Linked DNA regions of Xenopus tropicalis. The protein of the gene in region 1 interacts with the protein of each later gene in a pairwise test. Links are inferred from orthologs where the notes say so. Each region holds a gene or a part of one and is shown in the gene's direction. Other genes may lie near its edges.

Region 1 (5,285 bases):
GAATTTCTACGATTTCTCTTGGATGGTTTACACAATGAAGTCAACAGGGTAACAGTCAAACCCAGACCTTCCAGCCAGGATTTGGACCATATGCCGTGAGTATTGGTTATAAGTCAAGAGAAAGTAGAGAGTACTCAGTGCATGTGCATACTACATTAATTGATGTAAATCAGTGTTTAAGTCAAAGTGTTTCTGACTGCCTGGCTTGATTTTACAGTCGTCTTTTATATTTAAACTGAACACAAGCACTTTTGGTCTCTGCCTTATGACCTTGGTTTGTGCTACTGCCAATTGTATGGGGGAGGACAGGAATGGAATTTGTGGTTGATGTCTCCCTAGAGGAAGGAATACATCTGCATTTAATTAATCTGTAAACCACTGGGGATACTGGAAATTACAACAAAGTAGGCAAATTAGCAATTAATTGCCACAAAAACGCAGTGCTTGGGGCTTAGATTTAGCTTTCTGAACTTTAAACAGTCCAGCCAGGGTGAGATTTGCAGTAGATCCTACTATGTAGAACTCTATGTTTTCTTCTACTAAGATATCTGGATGCTCACTTCACAAGCCTAAATGTTGGATTTGTACAAGTTGGCTGCACATAAGTATTAGCAGATTCCACTGATAGAAACGTATCTACCTATGGAGATGGAACCCAGTTCAGTGGACACACATATTTTCTGGGTCCTATTTCAAAATAGGAAGCCACACTACAGGATAACTGACCAAATCTGCTGCAGGGGGGTGCACAAATACATGGTTGATCATACAGTTTTGTCAGAAAGTATAAATCTGCATTTCTTTTGCCAGCTTTAAAGTATATTAGCTCTCTGGCATTGAGGTTGCTTGAAACAAGCATATAAAATAATTAGCCTTTAGGCTTTAGTGAGATATATATTTGAAAAATCTTTTCTCGGTTTGACCTTGTCTACAAAAATCTCTGTCGTCTAGAGAACGTCCTTGGGAAATCAGCTTTACAAAACAGAGTTGAAACCTGGAGTCCTTCCAGACACAAGGTTTCATTACTGTCCTACCATAATAATTAAGTGAATCATTCTTCATTATGTAACTGTATTTACATGTTATTACAGTCTATAATCACATGTATTGTATGGCACTTCTTGTTGCTAAAACAAACATACCCATTTGTTTCACAACGTCAAAGGAGACCAAAACATTACAGCCCTCCTTTGCTCATACTCAGAAATTAGCATAGTTTGTTTTCTTCTAGTTTTATAATAAACTGTAACATTTAGATTAAAAGAAAGGAATTTTCACTTTCAATAGAACATGAACATTTTTGACAACAAGATGGTAGATTGTATGCCCCAGAGAAGACAGGATGGCCATATACCTGTATAGGCCCAGAGTGAGATATTGGGGGAAAAAAAGGTATAAACATATATTAGAAAAGTTTATCTCCTAATTCAATTCTAGATTTTCCCACAGGGCCAGATAGAATTCAATGAGAAAAATGTTTATCACATAAAAACTATGGGGAAAAACTGGACCTGACGTTTTTCACTTGGTAAACTATAAAATAACATTTTCTCATAAAATTGCAATACTGTCCAAGTTTCCATTATTTTAGCTCACATAGTCGAAACAACAATGGCTACAAAATTGCACACATGAGCAAACTTGTTAATGCTCTATAAATCTTATAAGGCTTACCCAACAATTTTACAACATTAAAAGGCTTACACAACATTAGCAATGGCTACTACTGAAGGTAAATGGTGGTGGTTAGTGTTCAGCTGTAACTGATGATCAGTAACTGATGATGTTGGCCTTCAAACATCAGCAGATAGAGCTATTTCTATGTTTTTTTCTTTAGGTTACATAAAGTGTTAACACACTACACAGGTACATAACTATGAGCAACTGAGTAGTCTTTACATTACAATTCCATGACAACATTACAAAGAATAATTGCTGTGCAACAGCATTCCTCTCTGTATAACTGTACTAATGAAAGTCTACCTGAAAAAGTATTTGTCTTGTGCTTTATCATGGCAAGAAATGGACAGATGGTGCCTCGATCATGCCAGATTGAATACCACCCTTTACATTCAAAAATCACTATAGTACTATGAATATTAACATTGTCATATTTACTGAAATGACCCTGATTTTAACCAGGGGAAATAGAAAAAGAGGCAAAGGAAGATTAAAATGTATATAATGAAGAAAACAAACAACATTTTTTTTTTCTTCTCTCAGTGACTCGGAGAAAGGCAAACATATGTGGAAGCGATATCTGGAGAGGGAGGACAGCAGAATTGTGGGTAAGTTGTACTGCTTTAGTGGGTTTTGATCTAAGGAAAAGTGTTGTAAAGAAAGATTTCATAAGATTTACATGATGTTAAAACTTACTATTACAATCCAAGTAACAAGAAAAAAAAATTGTGATTCATCTGACCTACAATCGCAAATGGCATCTTGCGCAAATTTGCTTACCGTCTTTGGCTGTGAATCTAGATTTGTGTATGATGTTTTTTTTATGTAAATGAGTGTGAAAGTACATTGTAGGGTTACGTTTGAGATATAATCATACGGTATAATTGGAACATTTGCTTAAGCAATTACTCCCATTTTTGAGGACTGGGGATTTTTAAAAGGGACCAGTCACCATAAGAAATTATTTCAAATCCTTTGAACTTAACTAACACTATTTACATTTTTCAAGTTTTTCCCTTTAATCTTGAAAAGTCAGGGGCCATTTTGTGAACACTGTTATTAAGGAAAGCTTTGTATCACTCCAAAATATTATGCATTTGCCATCTAGTTGATATCTAGGAAGTGCTGAATTGAAAGTTAAATTAATTGCAATCATAATTATATGCCTAAATGTATTTTTAAAAACATTAATAACAGGTAAAAAAAGAATTTGGGTTTTATGTTTCATTTTTAAAGGACTTCTATTATACAGCTTTATATATTAGGGTGACAGGTCATAGGGAGGTGGCACACGGGGTGATTAGTCGCCTGCGATAAATCTTCGCTACCATGGGCAACTAATCTCCCTGAAATGCCATCCCACCAGCAAGAATGTAAATCGCCAGAGGGAAGGCATACGCATTGCTTTGGTTTTCCGAAGTCATCTGAAGTTTCCTGTGACTTAGGAAAATCGAAGTGAAGCATATGCCATCCCACCAGCGACTAATCTTCCCATGTGTCACCTCCCTTATAAAAAACTGAAAAGTAGCAAAATGGCTTCAGTCCTCTAGACACTATCAAGGATAATCTTTTCCTGGATCTCTCATTAGAGCTAATTTCTACTTTTTAGGTGTAGTTGGATGATTTTTAATACAGGTATGGGATCCATTATCCGGAAATCCGTTATCCAGAAAGCTCAGAATTACAGGAAGACTCCACTGTAACTGAATAATTCACATTTTATAAAATCCTCACTGGAGGCAAAGTAACCCTGTTGGGTTTAATTCAGCGTTTTTCAACCACTGTTTAGTGTGCCGCGAGATGTTGCCTGGTGTGCCAAGGGCAGGGCACCAATGTACTAGGGGGGCACTGATGCTGGGCACCAATGTACTAGGGGGGCACTGCTCTTGGCACCAATGTACTAGGGGGGCACTGCTGCTGGGCACCAATGTACTAGGGGGGCACTGCTGCTGGGCACAGAGTTAAATTTTTTAACATTTTCTAATGGTGGTGTGCCTCGTGATTTTTTTCATGAAACAAGTGTGCCTTTGCCCAAAAAAGGTTGAAAAACGCTGGTTTAATTAATGTTAAAGTGATTTTTTAGCAGACACAGAGAAACACATTACAGAAAGATCCCTTATCCGGAAAACACCAAGTCCTGAGCATTCTGGATAATAGGTCCAATACCTGTACAAAATGTTGTCTTTTAGGAGCTACATACCCCACAGAAGATGCATTCTTGTCCTTACACCTATGCACATTAAAGGTAACATGCCAAAAGCATACTTTAGGGACCTTAATGATGGACATATACTGATTAAGAAATGTTGGTTATATTTTTAGGATAGCACCTTTTGTAGTAGCTTTGCAGATGAATGGTCTACCAATACATCCCTTTTGTAAAACAAATGATGGGGAGTGATGACAGCTCTTCTGTTTCCCATATGTCTTCTCTGTAACTAGCTAATCACTTCTTGTCTGTCAGCTTCTTATCTTTCTGAATTTGCTCTCCCAATTGCAGAACTGTTTGTTGGCCAGCTGAAGAGTTCCCTCACCTGCACAGAATGCGGATACTGTTCCACTGTATTTGACCCATTCTGGGACCTCTCACTTCCAATAGCTAAGGCAAGTTCCTCCCTCCAATGCCATTTTTATACACAAAAAAACTCTTTGTTTCCATGTAGGCAAGATTTTTATTTGCATTAAAACTTTGAGCAAAGTTTGTGACAAGCATTGCATTTGAATAGAGTTGTAAAGGTGTGGGAATTATCCTTTATTCCTACTTAACAATTGTGATAAATACTATAATGCGTATTGATGTAAAAAAAAGTGAAAAGATTGACTTTTTATAAGTTGTAGACTAATGAAGAGTCATATCTGGAAATGCCCCAAATCATCCCTGCCATCTGTCATTCAGTTTAATGGAAACTGACCATCATTGCTGGTACAGGTGGCTTCTGGCCTGTACTGGTCTTAGATCACACTAGAACTTGATCATTTTGATACTATCACCTGCCACTAATAGCATTTATGTAATTGATATTATTCAGATGTTTTACAAAGTTTGGCTCTAATCAAATTATTAATTACCTGCCTTTCCTAACACTGTATTAAAGTTTACACCCAATTTGTTGGCCATACCATTTTTATTAATATCTTCTTTATATGTATTTGATATTTACAACGTTAATCAATTCTGTCTCTAAGCACACAGTATCTTAGGCTTATAGAACAAACTATTGTGCATGTAAAAAAAAACAAAAGAGGCCCAGAGCCGAACATTTTTCTCCACAGCAGAACACCATTTGTATTTTAGATCTGAATTATTTATATAAATTGATTTTGTTCCCTTTCAACAGAAGAGTGCCTCTGAAGTATCCCTCGTAGATTGTATGCGTCTTTTTACTAAGGAAGATGTTTTAGATGGTGACGAAAAGCCAGTGAGTTTGCACTATGTTTCACTTTCTATTGAATAGCCAAGCTTTTGGTTATAACACACAGGCTCTTAAAGGAGAAGGAAAGGCTAATAAAGTGTTAATATCAAGCTGCAGGCATACCTTCAGTTCTCTCAATAGTGCCCTAAAGTCTCCCCATATTTCGCCTGTTCAGGTGATCAGAAGCCTCAT
Region 2 (5,234 bases), on another chromosome or scaffold:
AGTTGTGCGACACTGGTGTAACAGCTACTCAAGGCACGTTTTAAGTCCATCAGTATAAAGTTGCATCCCTTAAACTTCATATTGTGGAGACCAAAATTCCTCAACATTTGTTTAAGCCATCATAACTCTTGACAAAGTTTGCTTAGTTGTGTTTTCATTCAGTCACAATTTATTGTGTCAGGAAATATCTGTTGGGCCACCGAAACATTGTAACCAACAAATCAGGGGTGTAACAACATAGCACCAGGTCTCCTTGAAAAACAATCTTCGGAAGGGAATGGGAATGCAAATTTTCAAGCAATAGAGTGGATATAGAGGCCTCACAGTCTGGCCCCCTTTCCTTTTACCGGGACCCCCCATGACAGCAGGGTCTGCTTTCTCTATAGTTAAAAGGGTGGTTTACCTTTAAGTTAACTGAATATAAATGGATGTTTTTTGTCCACACCTCATCGTGCCCACACACTGTTACACCTAGACCATGACGAGTTACAAGCAGACCACATTTTTTTTTCTGTCCCTATTGTCGGTATAAATGGGGGTGACATGTCTGAGACTAGCACAGAGGAAGAGCAAAAGATATCAGGTTAGCAGTATAACTTGGGCAAAGGTAGCATTGGTGACAGATAAACAAAGAATCTGGGTTCAATTTCTGACTATTATTATGGACTGCTGAGGCAGGATATATTCTACTCAGGGTCAAACTTTACAAATATCTATAGCAGAGGTTATTATATTATATTTTCTGCTATAACCCAGTTTCCTCTATCTTCAGTGATCACACCCACCTTGCTCTCTAAATAACACTGTAAGCTTCAGCCATCAGGCAATACAATAATAAATCATCTGTTTGCTCTTGATTTGACTTTAATCATTTATGGCACTTACTGTGGGGCTTTGATATTCTTTGCCATAGTGCAGCAAATTCTAACATTGATATTTCATTAATATATTTACCTGCTTTATACATCTCTAGACATATTGTAATAAATCCCTAACTGGGCAAAGGTGGAGAGGCACCCAGCTTTGTTTGTGCGAAAAGATGAAGAAAAGAGGAGCCTTTTTTGTTGTGTGCTAGAATGTTGAGTAGCATTATGAAGAGGAAGGAAAAGCTATTGAATACATGCAGTGAATGATTTTATTGGATGCATGGACTGCAGGCAGACACTAAGAGGGAATTTTAATGCTTAGAACTTACTGTGAATGCTTAATGAGAGCAGTGTGGGATTTCTTTGAGTAATGAAATTAAAGCATCTTTAGTTACACAACTAAACTGTATATCTGTTAATGGACTTAAATACTAAACTAATATTGAAGTACATTACCTGGTTTAAGGCCATTGCAAGCAATTGATAGTTTTATATCTGGATATAGGGGTAGTGGAGCATGGAGACATTAGAAAACTAATACAGAAATAACTTCATGAAGAAAATGCATAGGGAACATATAATATTTATCCAGTAAGAAGGTGTAAAGGCCCAGTGGATTCTTTGATCAGTGTCTGTACAACCAACCAAGAGCTGCTGCTATGGCTAAATTGATCCCGGTGACTATAACAGCTCATTCTTATTTTCCTCCAATCTCATCTTATTACTTATTTTAGGTTTGGTTTCAGAACCGACGAGCTAAGGAGAAACGCCTTAAGAAGGACGCAGGCCGGCAGCGTTGGGGTCAGTTCTATAAAAGTGTGAGGAAATCAAGGCTGGGGAAGTCAGGAAAAGAAAGCTCTACGGAGGACTGTGGTGTGAGTGACAGTGAACTGAGCTACAGAGGTAAAACATTTACTGAGAAAGTCATACTATAGTCTATAGTTATCTTTCTTATATTGCGGTAATGCAGCCACAGAAAAGATGATGATTGGAACACTTTAATTGGTGCCTTAAAACAGTACATAATGCTGTGCAAGTTGTGTAGCTTGTATTTTGCCTCCTCTGGTAAAGTACCGCTTGAGGTACATTCTCACCTTGACTCATTACTGCAACAGCACTGCCTGGACCCATAGCATTAGTGGAGCCCTCTGAATATAAAAATGGGAATAGAAGTGCAAAACACAGTTGTTCAGGAGCACCATCAAGACAACATTAGGGATAGTCCAGTCAGGTATCCTGTAAGACATTATATCTAATTCACAAATTCAAATGGAGGTGGGGCTTGCTTGGGAGTTGGTGTAGTTTGGGAGGATCACTGCATGTTCTGGGCATAATGGGGTGGGCTGGGATGGATTGGGAGCATGGCCAGGTGTGGAATTTTGTTGGCCTTTTTTATGGGAACCCCAGTTCTAATTAGTTGACAAGGTCCATCATCCAGTAGGCTCCAGCAGGTGCTGGACTAAGTAGCAGTAGTAAGTGGGTCCCATGAGAATTGATAATGACCTTGCTATTCTCAAAACATGCCTTGGGGATATTGTGTCTGTGGGCCTTCAACTGCTGAATGCAATATACAGAAGCTGGTGCTAGTTACATTGTTTTTTCCTATGGCATTGAAGTCCCCCAAGGCTCTAGCACTGCCCAGATCCCCATATTCCCCCACTTCTTCCCTGGCAATCATTCTTCTCTGTGCCCCTGGATATCTTCCTCCCAGGCGCCTGCTTTGCTTTTGGTTGAGTTCACAGCCTAGATTTTACATTGAGTAATGGGTTTGTCATATGAATGATTGGATATTATAATGAAGCCTCTATTTATCAGCGGGAGAGTTAACTCTAAAGAGCTTACGGGCAATTGGAGCTACAACATCCGCTTTTCAGCTGCAGTAAATACAGACACAGTATTCCCTCTAGTCCATTTGTCAAACACAGCCATGAACCAGGCAATTTATCAGGTATATAAGAATGCTGAAAGAGCGTTAATCATGTTTCTAGCTCGGCCATCAACTGCTTTATGACTTTATTGTAGTGAATATTTAGCATCTTATAATTCAGAGACCTTGCCTTTAATTTAACATAAAACATGCATTCACTGAACAGCACCAGTGTCACTTGAAATGTACAGACCCTAAAGAAGCTTTATGGTGGCCCTTAACTGAATTTTGGCAGCACTGAATTCCTGATAAATTAGCCCAGAGTTGCGCAGATAGTTGTATTTATTTATTAAGGCTCTCTAATGTGTTGGGGGGGTTTGGAACATCCTATGTTGCTTATGCTGTACAATATCTGTGCTTAGCTCTGACAGATGGAAACTCTGCCACCTTGTGCCTTTATATGGCCACAGAACCCCCCTTGGTGACTTTTAATATCCTTATAATATTCTGTCCCTTATATTGTCCATAATATATGAGCAAGCAGAAAGCAAAACTTAAAGGTGTAAAAGTGGCAAAGCCATCAACAGCTTTTTTAATTGCACCTCCCAGGGGTATTTTTATGTTAGGATTCCAATTCATGCTGCTTAGCTGGGGTCAAGTACAAGGTACTGTTTTATTACAAATAAAAACAGAACTCATTTTTAAAATGTAGCAGTAGTTGCTTAAAATTGACTCTGTGGGAGATGGCTTTCCCATAATTTGAAGCTTTCTGGACAATGGGTTTCCGGATAAATGATCCCATTCCTGTAAAAAAAGATAGATCTATGGTGTTCCTATAAAAACCAGTGTATTAGGTTGTATGTATATTTAGTTGTGCCCCATACATTCACTTACTGGTAAATGGTAGAATATATCAACCACTAACACTGTTTAACATGGACAATAATACTGCAACTTACAGACCATTGGGTACATTGGGTAGCATATGTTTCCTCTCCTTATTCCTATCTGGAACTGACATCACTTACCTACAGGTTTCTTTTGTTCAAGAAAGCCCCACAAGGTCTTAGCTCCCCCCTTTTTTATGTTCTACTTTGTGGTTGTTTTTGATTGCACTTTCTATTTTTACTGTTGCCTTTGTCGCTTTTTACTTTCACTATCAACTTGTGACCACTATCATTTTAACGATTGTAGGGTCCCCCCATTAGAACATATTAATTTGGAGGCAAGATAGAGAAATCTGCTTCGGTATTTAGACATTGTGGGCCTCTCAAAGTGGCAGCTGATATCTCAGTCCATCAGCATTACTTAACAGACTAATTTAAAAACAGTGTTTCTCATTACACTTGTACAATAACCTGTGTCTCCAGTTCGCACACCATTTAGCATATTACCATACAATTTGTACAAATATGCAAAGCTGATATATATAGGCACCCAAAGCCTGGGCCTAGTGCGGCAACTTCAGGGTGGTGACCCTCTGGTGCCTATATAGTAGAAAAATAAATAAATAAATGAATAAAACCCCGCCCCAGCGAGACCGCCAGATCAAACCTATTGAAATCCGGTGGCAGAGCTGGAGGGGGGGGGTTTGGGTGTCCTTGGTGAGCCTCAGCAGGAAGTGACGTCACCTCTGCATCCCAAGGGGCGCATTTAGGTCCAGTGCCTCCCTAGAATTTGTGGAAGTGGCATCCTCCATACAAAAATTATTTTTTGCAGTGCGAGAAACTCCTGAAACAATGTTGCAGCCCAGTTTGTGGCAGTATGACCCCTTTAATTGGATGGTCATGGTCAGTTAGTTAATAAATTTACTAGAGTATAATACACATGTGCATTTAATAACCTGTAAAATATATCACACATATATAACAGAGCTTAGTGATATCATGGTTAATTGGTGCTTAAGAATGCCACTTGTCAAATGACTTCTTGAAACTTACTAAAAAAAATAATGTACCCCTTGGAAACTTTGAGGATATGAGAATATTAGGAGTCACCACAGAGTTCCCTGACCTCAGCAAAAATACTTGACCTGTGGTCTTGTGCCTTTATATCGTCATAAAAACCCATCGTGAGTAATAGTCTTGTATTTTACCATGCAGTACAGTAGTATTTACTTTACATAGGAAGGAAATTTATCTATGAAAAATGTGTAAAAATGTTTGCTGTTTCCTTATTATTTGTAGATGAGCAGATATTGTCTGAACTTGGATCAAGTGGTGGTATTTACAGTTCTGGTGGAGATCTTGTGCCTTTGGTGAATGGAGGCTTCACAATGGATGGAACAGGACAATCTTACCAGGACCTTCACGACAGTAGTCCTTATGAGATGCCACAGTCTCCCTCTTCTATCTCCTCCCTCCCATCCCATGGGCTGCCATACAACATGGACAATGCTGCTGGGCTTTTGAACCACCCTCCTCTCCGTGTACTACCAGCAGCTCCAACCTCCGATATCTCTACAGAGAGCAGCATGGGTTACCCCGACTTTCCCACCAGTC
Region 3 (4,259 bases), on another chromosome or scaffold:
AATTAACTCTAAAAACCTTAAAAAGATTCCTGAGGCTTTTAAAAACTCCCAGCCTGGTTCATTACTCAAAACCGCAATCATGGGTAAGACTGCCGACCTGACTGCTGCCCAGAAGGCCATCATTGACACCCTCAAGCAAGAGGGTAAGACACAAAAAGAAATTTCTGAACAAATAGGCTGTTCCCAGAGTGCTGTATCAAGGCACCTCAGTGGGAAGTCTGTGGGAAGGAAAAAGTGTGGCAGAAAACGCTGCACAACGAGAAGAGGTGACTGGGCCCTGAGGAAGATTGTGGAGAAGGACCGATTCCTGACCTTGGGGGACCTGCGGAAGCAGTGGACTGAGTCTGGAGTAGAAACATCCAGAGCCACCGTGTACAGGCGTGTGCAGGAAATGGGCTACAGGTGCTGCATTCCCCAGGTCAAGCCACTTTTGAACCAGAAACAGCGGCAGAAGTGCCTGACCTGGGCTACAGAGAAGCAGCACTGGACTGTTGCTCAGTGGTCCAAGGTATGTCATTCGGAAATCAAGGAGCCAGAGTCTGGAGGAAGACTGGGGAGAGGGAAATGCCAAAATGCCTGAAGTCCAGTGTCAAGTACCCACAGTCAGTGATGGTCTGGGGTGCCATGTCAGCTGCTGGTGTTGGGCCACTGTGTTTTATCAAGGGCAGGGTCAATGCAGCTAGCTATCAGGAGATTTTGGAGCACTTCATGCTTCCATCTGCTGAAAAGCTTTATGGAGATGAAGATTTCATTTTTCAGCATGACCTGGCACCTGCTCACAGTGCCAAAACCACTGGTAAATGGTTTACTGACCATGGTATTACTGTGCTCAATTGGCCTGCCAACTCTCCTGACCTGAACCCCATAGAGAATCTGTGGGATATTGTGAAGAGAAAGTTGAGAGACACAAGAGCCAACACTCTGGATGAGCTTAAGGCCGCTATTGAAGCATCCTGGGCCTCCATAACACCTGAGCAGTGCCACAGGCTGATTGCCTCCATGCCACGCCACATTGAAGCAGTCATTTCTGCAAAAGGATTCCCGACCAAGTATTGAGTGCATAACTGAACATAATTATTTGAAGGTTGACTTTTTTTGTATTAAAAACACTTTTCTTTTATTGGGCGGATGAAATATGCTAATTTTTTGAGATAGGAATTTTGGGTTTTCATGAGCTGTATGCCACAATCATCAATATTAAAACAAGAAAAGGCTTGAACTACTTCAGTTGTGTGTAATGAATCTAAAATATATGAAAGTCTAATGTTTATCAGTACATTACAGAAAATAATGAACTTTATCACAATATGCTAATTTTTTGAAAAGGACCTGTAAAACTTTCCCCCAATGAGAATCCCAGCTGATGTGAGTAAATCCGGCTCCCTGTTCTCTGTTCCTGCAATTGGAGTTGGGAGCAATAAGCACAGTTTCCCAGCACTGAACAAGTCTGTCCCTTTAACAACCACTTTAACTCCTAGCCCCCCCCCCCCCACTCAGACCCCCCCCCCTTCCCCCCAGGACGCTGCATACTGGGAAGTAACTTTTGCTTTCTCTTCCCCCCCCAGGCCTTGGAATCTAAATTAGCGGCATGTAGGAACTTTGCCAAGGACCAGGCGTCTCGGAAATCCTACGCACCTGTCGGCTTGAACAGCAGCGGTGGCGGCAGCAGCGCATTAAACAGCAGCGGGGTAAAATACTCCCACGCGGGGCACACGTCATTCTTCGACAAGGGGTAGGTTCCGACATGAGCAGCAGCGCCGTACAAACCTAGAACCCCCCAATTAATCTGTATCCAGAACAATAAAGGCCACGCTTAACCATTGTACATGCCCATTGGCCAGAGCCCTGCAGGCTGAAATAATCTGTGTTTTCTTCCCCTTTACTAGGCAGGAGAAGGTCATTTTCCCCACGTTGTTTATGGGTAATGAAACCGTAGCCAATAAGCTGCATGCTGGTGTCTCTGGGTGATAGAATTAACCCTTCATAACTTGAGATTTCTTGACTAATCGCATGGGGGCAGCTCTGTAACCAGCGCTCTCTGCCGTCTGTATGGGGTAGGAAGGAGAGTTGGACGGTTTGGTTTAAGTTGGCCTTGGGCAACGTGCTAGTAACCCTTTAAGGGGCGGTTCACCTTTAGATTAACTTCTAGTATGTTATAGAATGGCCTGTTCTTAGCAACTTTGCTATTGGTCTTCATTTTTTTTATTTTGTATGGTTTTTAAATTGTCTATTGCTCTGTGAGGCTGCAGCTTTATTGTTTTTGTTACTTTTTATTCCTTATTTTTTTATTTGGGCTCCTCCCCTCTCTTTTAAATCACTGCCTGGTTGCTAGGTTAAATTGGACCCTAGCAACCAGATAGCCGCTGAATTTCCAAACTGGAAATCCACGCCTGCCAACAAAATTGCCTTATCACTATTTAGGGCCTGATTGTTTTAAAACAACAGTACCAAATTAATTGGCTGTTTAGCCGCCACGGCCTTGGCGCGACATTAAGTGGCCCCCATAATAACTGCCCCCCCCCCGGCTGCTGTTTAGATATCAGTAGCTGCTTTGCATTGCAGAACTGGACCCTGCCTTCTCACCTCCTCAGCACAAAAGGAGTAGTTAATACTGTGCTGTGTGTTGGGTGGGGGTAAGGTAAAAGCACGGGGTAGCTTTGCATAGAGACCTTTATAACTGCCCCGGGGTATTTTATCCCTGTTAAAATGGCCACCCTGCCCCACAGAGCTCGGTGGAATTACCCTTTTATTACTGAGATTTAGAATCTTAGTAAATAAGCAGTGCCCATGTTGTGCCCCTTGCCCTGTATGTTTGGGCAACACCTGAGTCAATAAACACTGGGGGTTCATTACACACAGTTGGGGGGGGGGGGCCCACGTTGTTACTTTCTTCCACTATTGCCAGTGACTGGCTGCAGGGGGCAACGTCCATCTTTAAACCGCTGCCTGGTTGCTAAGGTAAATAAGCCCCTAGCAACCAGATACCTGCTAAAATACCAATTGGAGAGCTGCTGAACAAAAAGCTAAATAACCATAAAAAAGGACCAATTGCAAATTGTCTCAGAATATCTACCTCATATAAAAGGTTAATTTAAAGGTGAACTTCCCCTTTAAGCAACGCCGAGGTGCCTATAAATAAGTTCCCGCCCAGCCTGTAAGGACTTGATCCAACAGGGACCCGTGTCTGGTTCTGCCGGGAACTTAATGACTGATTCAGCCTTAGAAGCCAGCGCGGATCTGAAGGGAACGCTTGCTGTGGGGCTCATTCCTTCCAATGATACGTGCCCCCCCCCGGGCATAGCGACTGCTCTGTATTAACCATGTAATGCTCAGAATGGAGTTACATGGACAGGCCTAACACCCTTGTTGCCCCCCCATAGGCCATGTACAATTCCTATGGCTGATTTGTTACAGTGGGGGGCCGCTGGGTGTTTCTGCTTGGGACGAGGGATATGGGGGGGGGGGTCTATTGAGCCTTTACTGATTGTGCTTTGGGGTGCTAGGTCCCTCTCTCTGTGTGTTCATCCTAACAGAGCATGTCCCCCCCCCCAATAACCCTGTTAGTAGTGCCCCCCCTGCGCAGTATAAATGGCCCCCCAGGGAGCAGCCATTTATATACTATTTCTGTATGAGCTCTGTTAGTATGAATATACATCCCCCCCATAGAGACTGGATCCTTACTGTACAACTGTGGGAAATAGGGGGGTGAACCCTAAAATATCCTTGTGTAGCTCCTTTCAGTACCCCCCCCCCCCAATAACTGTTCATTTATTCTTCTTCTTTCTATTTCAGGGCAGTAAACGGTTACGACCCCCCAGGAGTTCTGGGATCGCGGCCCCCGTCCCCCCCGGGAATGCTTCCGCTTAGCGTATGAGACGGACGGAAACTTTATTTTATTTTTATTTTTTTTTTTGGGCGAGAGAACAAAAACTTGCTACGGTTTCAACCACTTTTGCTGCCTCCGCTCACCCCGGCAGACAAGGGGTTAACCCCCCCTCTCAGTGAGTGGAATGTGGGGGGCTGCGCTGCATTAACCCTTCTGCTGCCTCTCGGGTGCTCTGTAAGGACCTCGTCCTCCGCTTCCGCCCGGGGGGGTCGAGCCGCCGGCGCTACCATGGTAACGTGAGCATTGACTCCACGCACACCCCCCCCCCCCCCCAATGAATTGCCTGACCTGACGCAGCAGGTGGAGACGAGACCTGCCAAGTACTACTTTTTGGGGGGTCCTGGGGGCTCCCCAGATCAGAATCATCCCCTCT
Region 4 (4,085 bases), on another chromosome or scaffold:
TAGCTTGTAAACACCACTGCTGGCTAGAGGGCCATGATGCAATCTACAACACCTCAATAGTTTAGCTCAGTCTACAGACTACTTGACTTTTTTTAGAGATCCATATCTGTGTCCCTTGCATGTGTACAGAGAAATTTTAATTACAACCAACTACCCTGGAGTTAGTAACTCGACTGGGTAAGGGGTGGGGGTGAGGCCTAGTGGTTCTCTGACATGCTGCTAGCATTTAATATATGTTTGCCTGTTGGACAGGCATTGGATAATCTAAATTCTATTGGATTGTAATTAAGTTATAGTCATGGTGGCACAATTATGCTAAGAGATTCTAGCTCTTCTATACATAGAGATTATGTTTATGCTGATGCTGGATTATATTTCTGTGTATGTTAAGAAGACAGTCTTGATACTTTTTAATAGTGTATATATGTGCTATAATAGGACACTATTTTTATATATTGTCTTCATTAATATTCTGCAGATACTGGGATGCCCTTCTGGACATGCTGTGGCCCAGGTTTCAGCTTATCCTAGAATTAAACATTCAAAGTATTCGAAACACAGATCCACAAAGGCTGGGCACTGTTGATACAAGGCCGCACTATGTAAGCAGTAAACATCTGCCTATCTCAGGAAAAGTCTTGATAAATTTACTGGGTGTAGTAACACAAATACATCATACTATGCAGAAGTTTAGGGGTTGTCAGAAAATATTAGCAGAAAGTGGTGTAAAATCTGTTGTAGAAGCTGATGCAATACTGGGCTGATTACTAATCATTTTAATGCAGAATGCTGTAGTTTATGTGCTGCCATGTAAAGTGGTTCTAATGTATTACTGATCAGCCTTGTATCATCAAATTTGTGTTTTGTATATAGATACTGTATATAGTGGGTTGGTCCCTAATCTCAGCCGTGGTTGCCTTGGGCTGCTACGGAAGCCCAAAACATAAAAAGCATTAAAAGGATTCTATCATGATTTTTTTGGAATACTTTTTATTTATAAATGACACTGTTTACATAGCAGATAATTCATTCTACCATTCAAATTTTATTCTTGAACCAACAAATGTATTTTTTTAGCTGTAATGTTGGTGTGTAGGCAGCCATCTCAGTGAATTGTGCCTGAGTCTGAGCTTTCAGAAAGAGCCAGCGCTACATAGAACTGCTTTAAGATAACTTATTGTTTCTCCTACTCCCATGTAACTGGAGGAGTCCCAAGCCGGACTTGGATTTCTTACTATTGAGTGCTATTCTGATATCTACTGGGAGCTGCTATATTGTTTCCTTCCCATTGTTCTGCTGATCGGCGGCTGGGAGGGAAGTGAGATCACTCCAACTTGCAGCTAAGCAGTAAAGTGTGACTGAAGTTTATCAGAACACAGGTCATATGGCTGTGGCACCCTGGGAAATGAAGAATATGGCTAGCCCCATCTGAAATTTCAAAATAAAATATAAAAAAATGTATTTGCGTTTTTGAAAAACATGGATTTTAAAGTTCCACTCACGACCCAGATGAAAAAATTTACAGTCTGTGTCAATCTTACCCTTTACTGCCAGCTTGTAAACGTTATAATCTGTAGTAGTGAGTTAAAGAGCAAGTGGGAAGGTCAGTTTCACAGTCCATTAGAGGGTTGTCCATGTACTTGGTCACTTGCAAGCTTGACCTCTAAACCACTTTATACTGCACAGCTCACAGATAAACCCGCTGGTGCCACATTTTAGGTACAAAACCTAATTAATTACAGAGAATTATACAACATTACATATGTGTCTAAAAAATAAGCTATGAAAATTGTTTTTTTTTCCTTTTAGATAACCCGTCGTTATGCAGAGTTTTCCTCAGCCATCGTTAGCATAAACCAGACATTTCCAAATGAGAAGACAAATGCCCTGCTTGGACAGTTACAGGTACTAACCTTATATGAAGAGAATTTGGAGAAGGATTATAAAGTGTGATGTGGGATTCAGCCATCCTACACTTTTTTAAGATATAAAGTAAAACCCAGTAGGATTGTTTTACCTCTTATAAGGATTAATTATATCTTAGCTAGGATCAAGTACAAGGTACTGTTTTATTATTACTAAGAAAAAGGAAATCGTTTTTTAAAATGTTAAGTATTTTAGTAAAAAGGTCTACTGTAACTCAGAGCTTTCTGGATAACGGGTTTCCTCATAACAAATCCTATATCTGTACTAGTTATATTTTGGGTTATGTGAAAACGTCATATTTTTTGTACTCTATGAATAGGTAACATCAGTTAACTAAGAAGCTTCTTATGGGCAGTGACAAAGCTCCAGATTTTGAGTATGTGGGGGATATAGTGCTCTAAATGTGACTTGCTAGAGAAATATTAGATTCTACATGAAAAAGCCCTGGAGGTTGCCTATTGGTAGTTTTTCTTTTTGACTTTCTTTTAGGTAGAAGTGGAGAATTTTGTCCTTAGAATGGCAGCAGAGTTCTCATCAAGAAAAGAACAGCTAATTTTCTTAATAAACAACTATGATATGATGCTCAGTGTCCTTATGGTGAGTCCCACTAGTTTGCAACACATTAGATGTTTGTGGCATTTCACATAAGACAAGGTTTAACACTAGCAATGTGTTCATTTCCTATGAAATCTGACTCATCCAATTCAAGTTGGTTTCACATGTAATAAATTAATAACTATACACAGTGAACCTCACACTAGTCTGTAATGTCTATTGGGAGATATTAATCCGACATACAAACAAGCAGAGCTATAGTTCAGATCATTTACAGTTTTTTTCACTGCCATCTCTAGGAACGAGCATCTTCTGACAGCAAAGAAGTGGAAAGTTTTCAACAGCTGCTGACTGCTCGAACACAGGTTTGTAGCCCCTTTGTGTTTGTATTATTACCTTCTACACCATGTATTTCATATTGATTTTGTCCTTGTACTGTTTAAAATGCCAGGAGTTTATTGAAGAGATACTCGCTCCATCATTTGGAGGAATGATTGCATTTGTCAAGGAGTCAGAATCTCTAATTGAGAAGGGACAGCAGGAACGACTCAGAAGTGAAGAGGGTACAGGATGTTTGTATTTTAACAAGTCTTACTATTTGTTTTTATTGTCACTCACTGCATAAAGTAACGGTCTGAATTTCTTGTAGCACGTGTTGCTCAGCTTGTACGGGGGTTCTCATCAACATGGAAACAAGCAGTGGAGAATCTGAGTCAGGATGTTATGAGGTCATTTACCAACTTTAAGAATGGAACTAGCATTATACAAGTAAGGGAATTAGGAAGGGCTATTTAAGAGAGACCTTTATTTGGGTTCTTCCTTTTATTCTAACTCTCTCCATTTTTACAGGGTGCATTAACACAGCTGATCCAGTATTATCACCGCTTCCATAAGATACTCTCCCAGCCGCCACTCAGGAATCTGCCTGTATGCTCAGAATTAATAAACCTGCATCACCTAATGGTTGAGCTCAAAAAACATAAGCCTAATTTCTGAACCCAAGAAGGTAGAAGTAGGAAGTATCATAAAACTGATTCTGTTACCTGTGTATATAACACTAATCTGAGATGCATCAAGTGATGTAAATTTCTTAACAATGAAAGAGCAAGTGCTTTTGCCTTGCTAAGTCAGTAAGATACCTGTACCAACAGGTAAACAGGTAGCTCCACCAAATGTTTGAGTTTAAATATATTTAATGGCATTCTCTTCCTATGCTTAACTATTGCTTGTAAAATCATGCCAGAACTAAATGTATGGGTAAAATAAAGTTTACTACTGGTAACAAATCTTGGATAAATATGTATAGTTTTATGTAGTCTCACAGCATGAAGAAAATGTATAATTTCCTGTGCAGTCATTTGAATGTTATTGCAGCTTATCCATTCCCCGGGGACAGTGAGGTGCTAATGAGCAATAGCTGAAACAGGCCTGTGCAGATTGAGAACACTAGCTTAGCTAGTAGAAAGTACAGGGGTAATACATTCTAAATGCATAGGGGTTTTAATGTAAAATGCCACAACTTAAAGGAAGATGCAGTTGCAAGTCCTTTGTGGACACGATAACACATTCGTTGTAAAGGAGTTATGTTCTTTACTAGAAGCAAT
Region 5 (5,285 bases), on another chromosome or scaffold:
AAACAATTCCATGATGCTTTTTTAATTTACTTAACAAAGTACTTGGTGTGTCATACTGTGTTTGCTAATCCTTCCATGCATCCTTGTTTGTACTGTAGCTTAAAGGAGAACTCCACCCAAACACAACTTAAGCTTTTTGAAAAGTAAATATAATTTCAAGCAACTGTGCAATATACAACAAGTTAAAAAAGAAGCCTTTCATGAGTTTTAATGTAATAATATCGTTGAAACAGTTATCAAAGCCTGGCCCCCTGTTCTCTTGCTTGACTCAAAAAAGACTCAAAAAATAAAAACAATAATGGCAGTTGACTGTCCTCAGCATCAATAAGTAAAGTAACATCAGAGTGCAATGCATTGTGGGTTAAGTAGTTACTGCATGCTGTCTGTAAGCTGTGGAGAAGGTGTTACAATTTGTAACATCAAGTTTTTAGTCCCTTCTCCCCTGCCAAAGAGAAGAACTGTTTTTCAGATAGATTTCAACATATAAAAATTGTATTTATATTATTATTATAAATTGTATATATTTGAAGGAACAGATTACAGTGGTATGTAAATTAGGGGTTTGGTGTTGTGTGGGGCTCTTTTACAAATTTTGGTTTGGAAGTCAGAGTTCCCCTTTAAATGTTACTTATATTAAGGATGCTGCTTGCCACAGTACATGTAACACTGACATACCTGGGGATCCTAGAAAGGCACAGGGCAATCTTTGAAAGGAGGTTAATAAATATATACACTGTATACCCACACTTGAGGTTCTTAATCTCTAACCTTTATTGATTGCCTCTTGATACATACTCAAAAGATCCTTTATCATATAGCATGGAACAAAGATCTTAATACCATCATTACAGAAGAAAACTGGTCCCAAATATGGAAATCCATGGTTGCTCAAGAAACATTTCATTATTAGAAACCTTATATTTCATATTTAGATGCTGTAGCCAAACCGGCTCTGTGATGCATATCTGGTGGGACTGCTCAAATGCCAAAAGATTTTGGTCTAGAATTTATAATATAACACAAAAAAATAAACTTAAAGAAAGATGCACAGAATGCTTTATTGAATATTAAGATACCCAATGTTAATAATTACACTAGGTTATTGATAATTTTATTCTCTTGGCAGCCAAAATAACAATTTCATAATTCTGGAAATAAACCCACATTCCCATTTTTCATTTCAAAGAAAAAACTAATTTGGATTATGTTCAATGATAAACTGACCAGCATACATATAGACAAGCATGAGGAAGTCATGAAAATACAGAGACCCTGGTACACCTACTCTTTTCCGAATGTAGGGATTTCATCTACTTTTCACTTTAGATCAACCTTTTGAAATAAAAGCCAACAAGTAACGTACAAGTTTAATGGAAATATTATTAACGTCTTATATATCAGATCATAAGTCTAACACAGTTTTGACTTCAGTATGGTATAAACTTTCAAGTTATCCTCATAATTGTCCACTTTGTTTCTCCATTTGCTTGGCCCTACTGCCCACTTGAAATAAGAACGACTTCTTCTTTTCTCTTTCCTCCTTTCCTTTTTTATTAGGATATCTACTGTTCATTATACAATTGTTTTAATTTAATATCTGCTTTGTAAAAGTTAAAATGCAAATAAAAATAATTGAAAAGAAAAATACATACTGTACATGATATATAGGTCAGGTAACTCCAAGGTGAATTGCCCCATCCTTTAGAATTTTCTGCAGGTGGTACACCATCTCATATAATAATGGGAATAAATAATAGTTTTGGCTATAAATAAAGAGAACAGTTGATTTTTTAGTAGTTAACCTGTGGGTCTACAGACTAACGCGAGCCTTCTGATTGGGCGCAGCTCTATAAAGAGCTAATAAATTAGTGATGCCACAATACTGACTTTGCTGTCTAGTCCTGCTAGCCTTGGATTGGTTGGATACCCAAGTGTTAGAAATAAATACATTTGATTTATGTTACTATTGAACTAATGTGTTATTAAATATATTAGGCCTTTACATGGCTACACATTTTTTTCTAAATGCTTATATACTGTTTGTACCTATATATTGCTACATCATCTCGATAAGATATAGATGAATATCTATATTATAAAGAGTATATCTTGTAATACTGCTCAGTAATGTGCAAAGACTTTCTGCACTTGACAGCATTTTCTCACCTTGAGAATGCCAAAGGCTGTTTTCCTACTACTCAGTACAGTAAGTGACACATTCTTTTTTATATGTTATTTTTTTCTTATTTGCTTCTAACATTCTCTCTCTTTTTTCAGTTTCCTTTGTCTTGTCCAGAATGGCAGCCTGTGGAGGAAACATAAAGAATAAAGTCACAGTTAATAAGACCGTATGGGACTTTCTTAACAAGGAGACCCCTTCCAAACTTACAAGACTTTGGGAAGAAAACAGAGTGAGGATACTGATTGATGGTGAAACATCTGAAATCTATGTTCTACGACTATCCCCTGAAAGTCATGTTCCAGCAAATGCGCTTTATTTAGCCAGAAAGGCACTGAAATCCCTTCTTAAGGAGACTGAGAAGGAGTTGAAGAAATCATATAAACAGCACCAGTTGACTGGATGTATGGCTTATGGTGATAAGAATAGTGAACATGCAACAGAGCTGCACCTTCGAGGAACATATTCCAGGGGGGCACAGAGCACTGGTGGCAAAGGACTTCCTGGGTGTGCAGGAGGGGGGGCTAGCAGCAGTCATAGCAGCTCTCGAGATCATAGAAGGGAAGACCCAGAGGACGATCGAGAGAACCAATGTCCCATTTGTCTGGGTGAGATTCAGAACATAAAGACACTGGAGAAGTGCCAACACTCGTTCTGTGAGGATTGTATTACCCGGGCACTGCAGGTGAAGAAGGCATGTCCAATGTGTGGCCGTTTCTATGGGCAATTGGTGGGTAACCAGCCAGAAAATGGTAGAATGTTGGTATCCAAGGACTCCGGTCTGCTGTTGCCTGGTTATGAGAAATATGGGACCATTATTATCCAGTATGTCTTCCCACCAGGCATTCAAGGGGTAAGATATGGTATATATTGTAGTACCACCAACTATTACAACAAAAATCATTATTAGACTACTTTCTACTTTACATCTATTTTTACATAACTGTATATTAATCCATGTATCTATTTAAATATTAAATAATTAAATCTACTTTACTGAAATGGGTTACATTTAGAATTTAAGTTATGCTTTCTATAGACAAGACAATATTAAATATAAATTCTGTAGATAAAAGCACTTATGGCAAAACCTTTTTGCGCCTGGTACACTAACCTGCGGGTTGCAGCCTGCAGGCTTTTGTGCTCCAGTATAAGATGCAAAGTTCTGTACCTTTTCCATGAATACAGTACTGTCTGCAGTTTTCAGTGCTATATTTATGAGAGATCTGTGATGGCCTATGGACATCCCCAAGCTATTCAAACACAAAAGCTAGGGGTTATGCATTCAGTATGTAGAAAACATTAGGTAATCTGTGGTCCTGTCTTCACGTATTGCCTTTTGATTGCTGCCATTAATACAGAATACTAATTCAAGCAGCTGTTTGCAGGCACCTTAGAATATTGTTGTGTATCTACGTGACCACAGGCCTAGGTGCAGAACTTACACCTGCTCCCCTACCTAGAATGTACACACACCTCCTGCCCTTCTGGTATGTACACCAGTGTAGCATATCAGTTGCTCATAATAGAACACGTTTGTAGCATTCCCAACCAAATAGATATGCCAAATGATAGGACAGGCATTTTTCATCAGCCTGAGAGGACATCTCACATTGTACTGCAAAGTAAAACTGATCAACCTACTTGCTCAAAAGTATATATATCATCAGTTCTTACATGTATTTCTAGTATAAAATGAGACATGTTTATTGCAGCACTAGGCAGTTGGAAAATGTTAACGAATAAATCAGCAACATGAGAAATTAATTATTTAGAGTTTGTATCTGTGTATATCATGTTGAGGGTCTTTACTAAACTCACTGGGACATCTAATAAGGAAACCAGCTCATCAACCATCAATCAACAGCATTAGAGATAATTTGGTGTGGCAGTAACAAAGCTGACCTCTAACAAGCATATTTTCAAATAAGTAATCAGGGAATACACACGGGGGACTTTGTCTCACTGAATCACAGAATGTCGTACATACCCCTGTACTTGTCTGCGGCAGAGATGAGAATGGATGTCAGGGTCTTTGCTGGCCGTGCTGGATTTAGTATGTCAGAAATCTTGTTGTGCTTCATTGCCAGCGTATGAACCATTGTTTTGCAACACCACTGTATATTGGCTGATGTTCCTGCGGTCTGCTACTCAGGCAATCGAAGAAAAAGATTAGTGTGAAATAGCTGCCTGCAGGGACAGTCCGGCTCCACTCACACAGTAGATATACAGCAAAAAAGGCATTAAATTACTTTAAGGAGAGCGGCCAGTGCTGAATACAAAGGCAAAATGTTTTAGAACATCTAAAGGCACTGTCATTTTGCTTATCAGCCTACACCTGTTCTGATTTGAATAAGTGTGGTAATTGTTTAAAGGTTTCACGATTCATCAAATCTTCTCAACAATGAAATGGAGGCAAAGCTGAAAATGTTCATTTTAATTCCGTAAGAAAAAATTATACAGGCTTGTGTCAGAATTCCAGCCACAATCATCTGATTTTTTTTTAAAATGAAGGTTTCTTTTAGATTTGTTACCTACTTGCCCTTCACTTACAAAGCATACGTTCTGGAAAATGTATTAGGCCTGATTTACTTTACAGCTGGGAATTCCCCCAACCACAGGCAGTACCAGAAAGATTTATATCAATGACAAGATCTTCAGAAAACAAAGTCACAAGCATGAAATTGCTTTTAGCTGGAATGCTGATGTTAAAAAAAACTTTTCCAGTCATTCTCATGAACACTGACACATATGTGCTCTCTTTAGCGTATGTTTATGGGCATAATTGCGCAAGCTGTAGGTATCACCATTCAGGAGAAATTTGTGTTGGTTCCAATTTCACATAATAAAATCATTCATGAAGGCACTGCCTAGAATTACTGGCTGGATGTTTACAGTTTGTTGCAACATTCTCATTAGTTGGGAATAGTAACTCACACCAAATGTCTGTTTGTTCATTGCACCATTTAAGGGACCATAACTCTGTTGGAGCTGTTTGTAATCATTTCTCTTTCAGGCGCTTCCAAAATTTCACTTTTAAGAATTGGTGCCTTCTTTGTAAGTTGTCATCTTAGATTTCTAGGGCAAATCATTAAGTTAAGATGGA

What was found.
Region 2: the proteins of usp2 (region 1) and lhx4 interact in binary tests that used the Homo sapiens proteins (3 or more experiments, as listed by UniProt). The two-hybrid records come from large-scale screens. The link is inferred for Xenopus tropicalis from reciprocal best matches to the Homo sapiens genes USP2 and LHX4.
Region 3: the proteins of usp2 (region 1) and ndel1 interact in binary tests that used the Homo sapiens proteins (3 or more experiments, as listed by UniProt). The two-hybrid records come from large-scale screens. The link is inferred for Xenopus tropicalis from reciprocal best matches to the Homo sapiens genes USP2 and NDEL1.
Region 4: the proteins of usp2 (region 1) and vps52 interact in binary tests that used the Homo sapiens proteins (3 or more experiments, as listed by UniProt). The two-hybrid records come from large-scale screens. The link is inferred for Xenopus tropicalis from reciprocal best matches to the Homo sapiens genes USP2 and VPS52.
Region 5: the proteins of usp2 (region 1) and dtx3 interact in binary tests that used the Homo sapiens proteins (3 or more experiments, as listed by UniProt). The link is inferred for Xenopus tropicalis from reciprocal best matches to the Homo sapiens genes USP2 and DTX3.

The regions. Positions count from the first base shown.
Region 1 is NC_030683.2:80,119,350-80,124,634, forward strand, and holds part of usp2 (ubiquitin carboxyl-terminal hydrolase 2), read left to right. Parts: coding exon 1-95; intron 96-2,223; coding exon 2,224-2,288; intron 2,289-4,180; coding exon 4,181-4,284; intron 4,285-5,018; coding exon 5,019-5,099; intron 5,100-5,285. UniProt on the Homo sapiens protein: Hydrolase that deubiquitinates polyubiquitinated target proteins such as MDM2, MDM4 and CCND1. Isoform 1 and isoform 4 possess both ubiquitin-specific peptidase and isopeptidase activities.
Region 2 is NC_030680.2:101,064,061-101,069,294, reverse strand, and holds part of lhx4 (LIM/homeobox protein Lhx4), read left to right. Parts: intron 1-1,600; coding exon 1,601-1,769; intron 1,770-4,919; coding exon 4,920-5,234. UniProt on the Homo sapiens protein: May play a critical role in the development of respiratory control mechanisms and in the normal growth and maturation of the lung. Binds preferentially to methylated DNA.
Region 3 is NC_030686.2:49,762,614-49,766,872, reverse strand, and holds part of ndel1 (nuclear distribution protein nudE-like 1), read left to right. Parts: intron 1-1,565; coding exon 1,566-1,732; intron 1,733-1,886; coding exon of another isoform or gene 1,887-1,921; intron 1,922-3,792; coding exon 3,793-3,874; 3' UTR 3,875-4,259. UniProt on the Homo sapiens protein: Required for organization of the cellular microtubule array and microtubule anchoring at the centrosome. May regulate microtubule organization at least in part by targeting the microtubule severing protein KATNA1 to the centrosome.
Region 4 is NC_030684.2:72,053,617-72,057,701, reverse strand, and holds part of vps52 (vacuolar protein sorting-associated protein 52 homolog), read left to right. Parts: intron 1-478; coding exon 479-602; intron 603-1,809; coding exon 1,810-1,905; intron 1,906-2,415; coding exon 2,416-2,523; intron 2,524-2,780; coding exon 2,781-2,846; intron 2,847-2,932; coding exon 2,933-3,044; intron 3,045-3,130; coding exon 3,131-3,249; intron 3,250-3,330; coding exon 3,331-3,477; 3' UTR 3,478-4,085. UniProt on the Homo sapiens protein: Acts as a component of the GARP complex that is involved in retrograde transport from early and late endosomes to the trans-Golgi network (TGN).
Region 5 is NC_030678.2:140,819,045-140,824,329, forward strand, and holds part of dtx3 (probable E3 ubiquitin-protein ligase DTX3), read left to right. Parts: intron 1-2,277; coding exon 2,278-3,032; intron 3,033-5,285. UniProt on the Homo sapiens protein: Regulator of Notch signaling, a signaling pathway involved in cell-cell communications that regulates a broad spectrum of cell-fate determinations.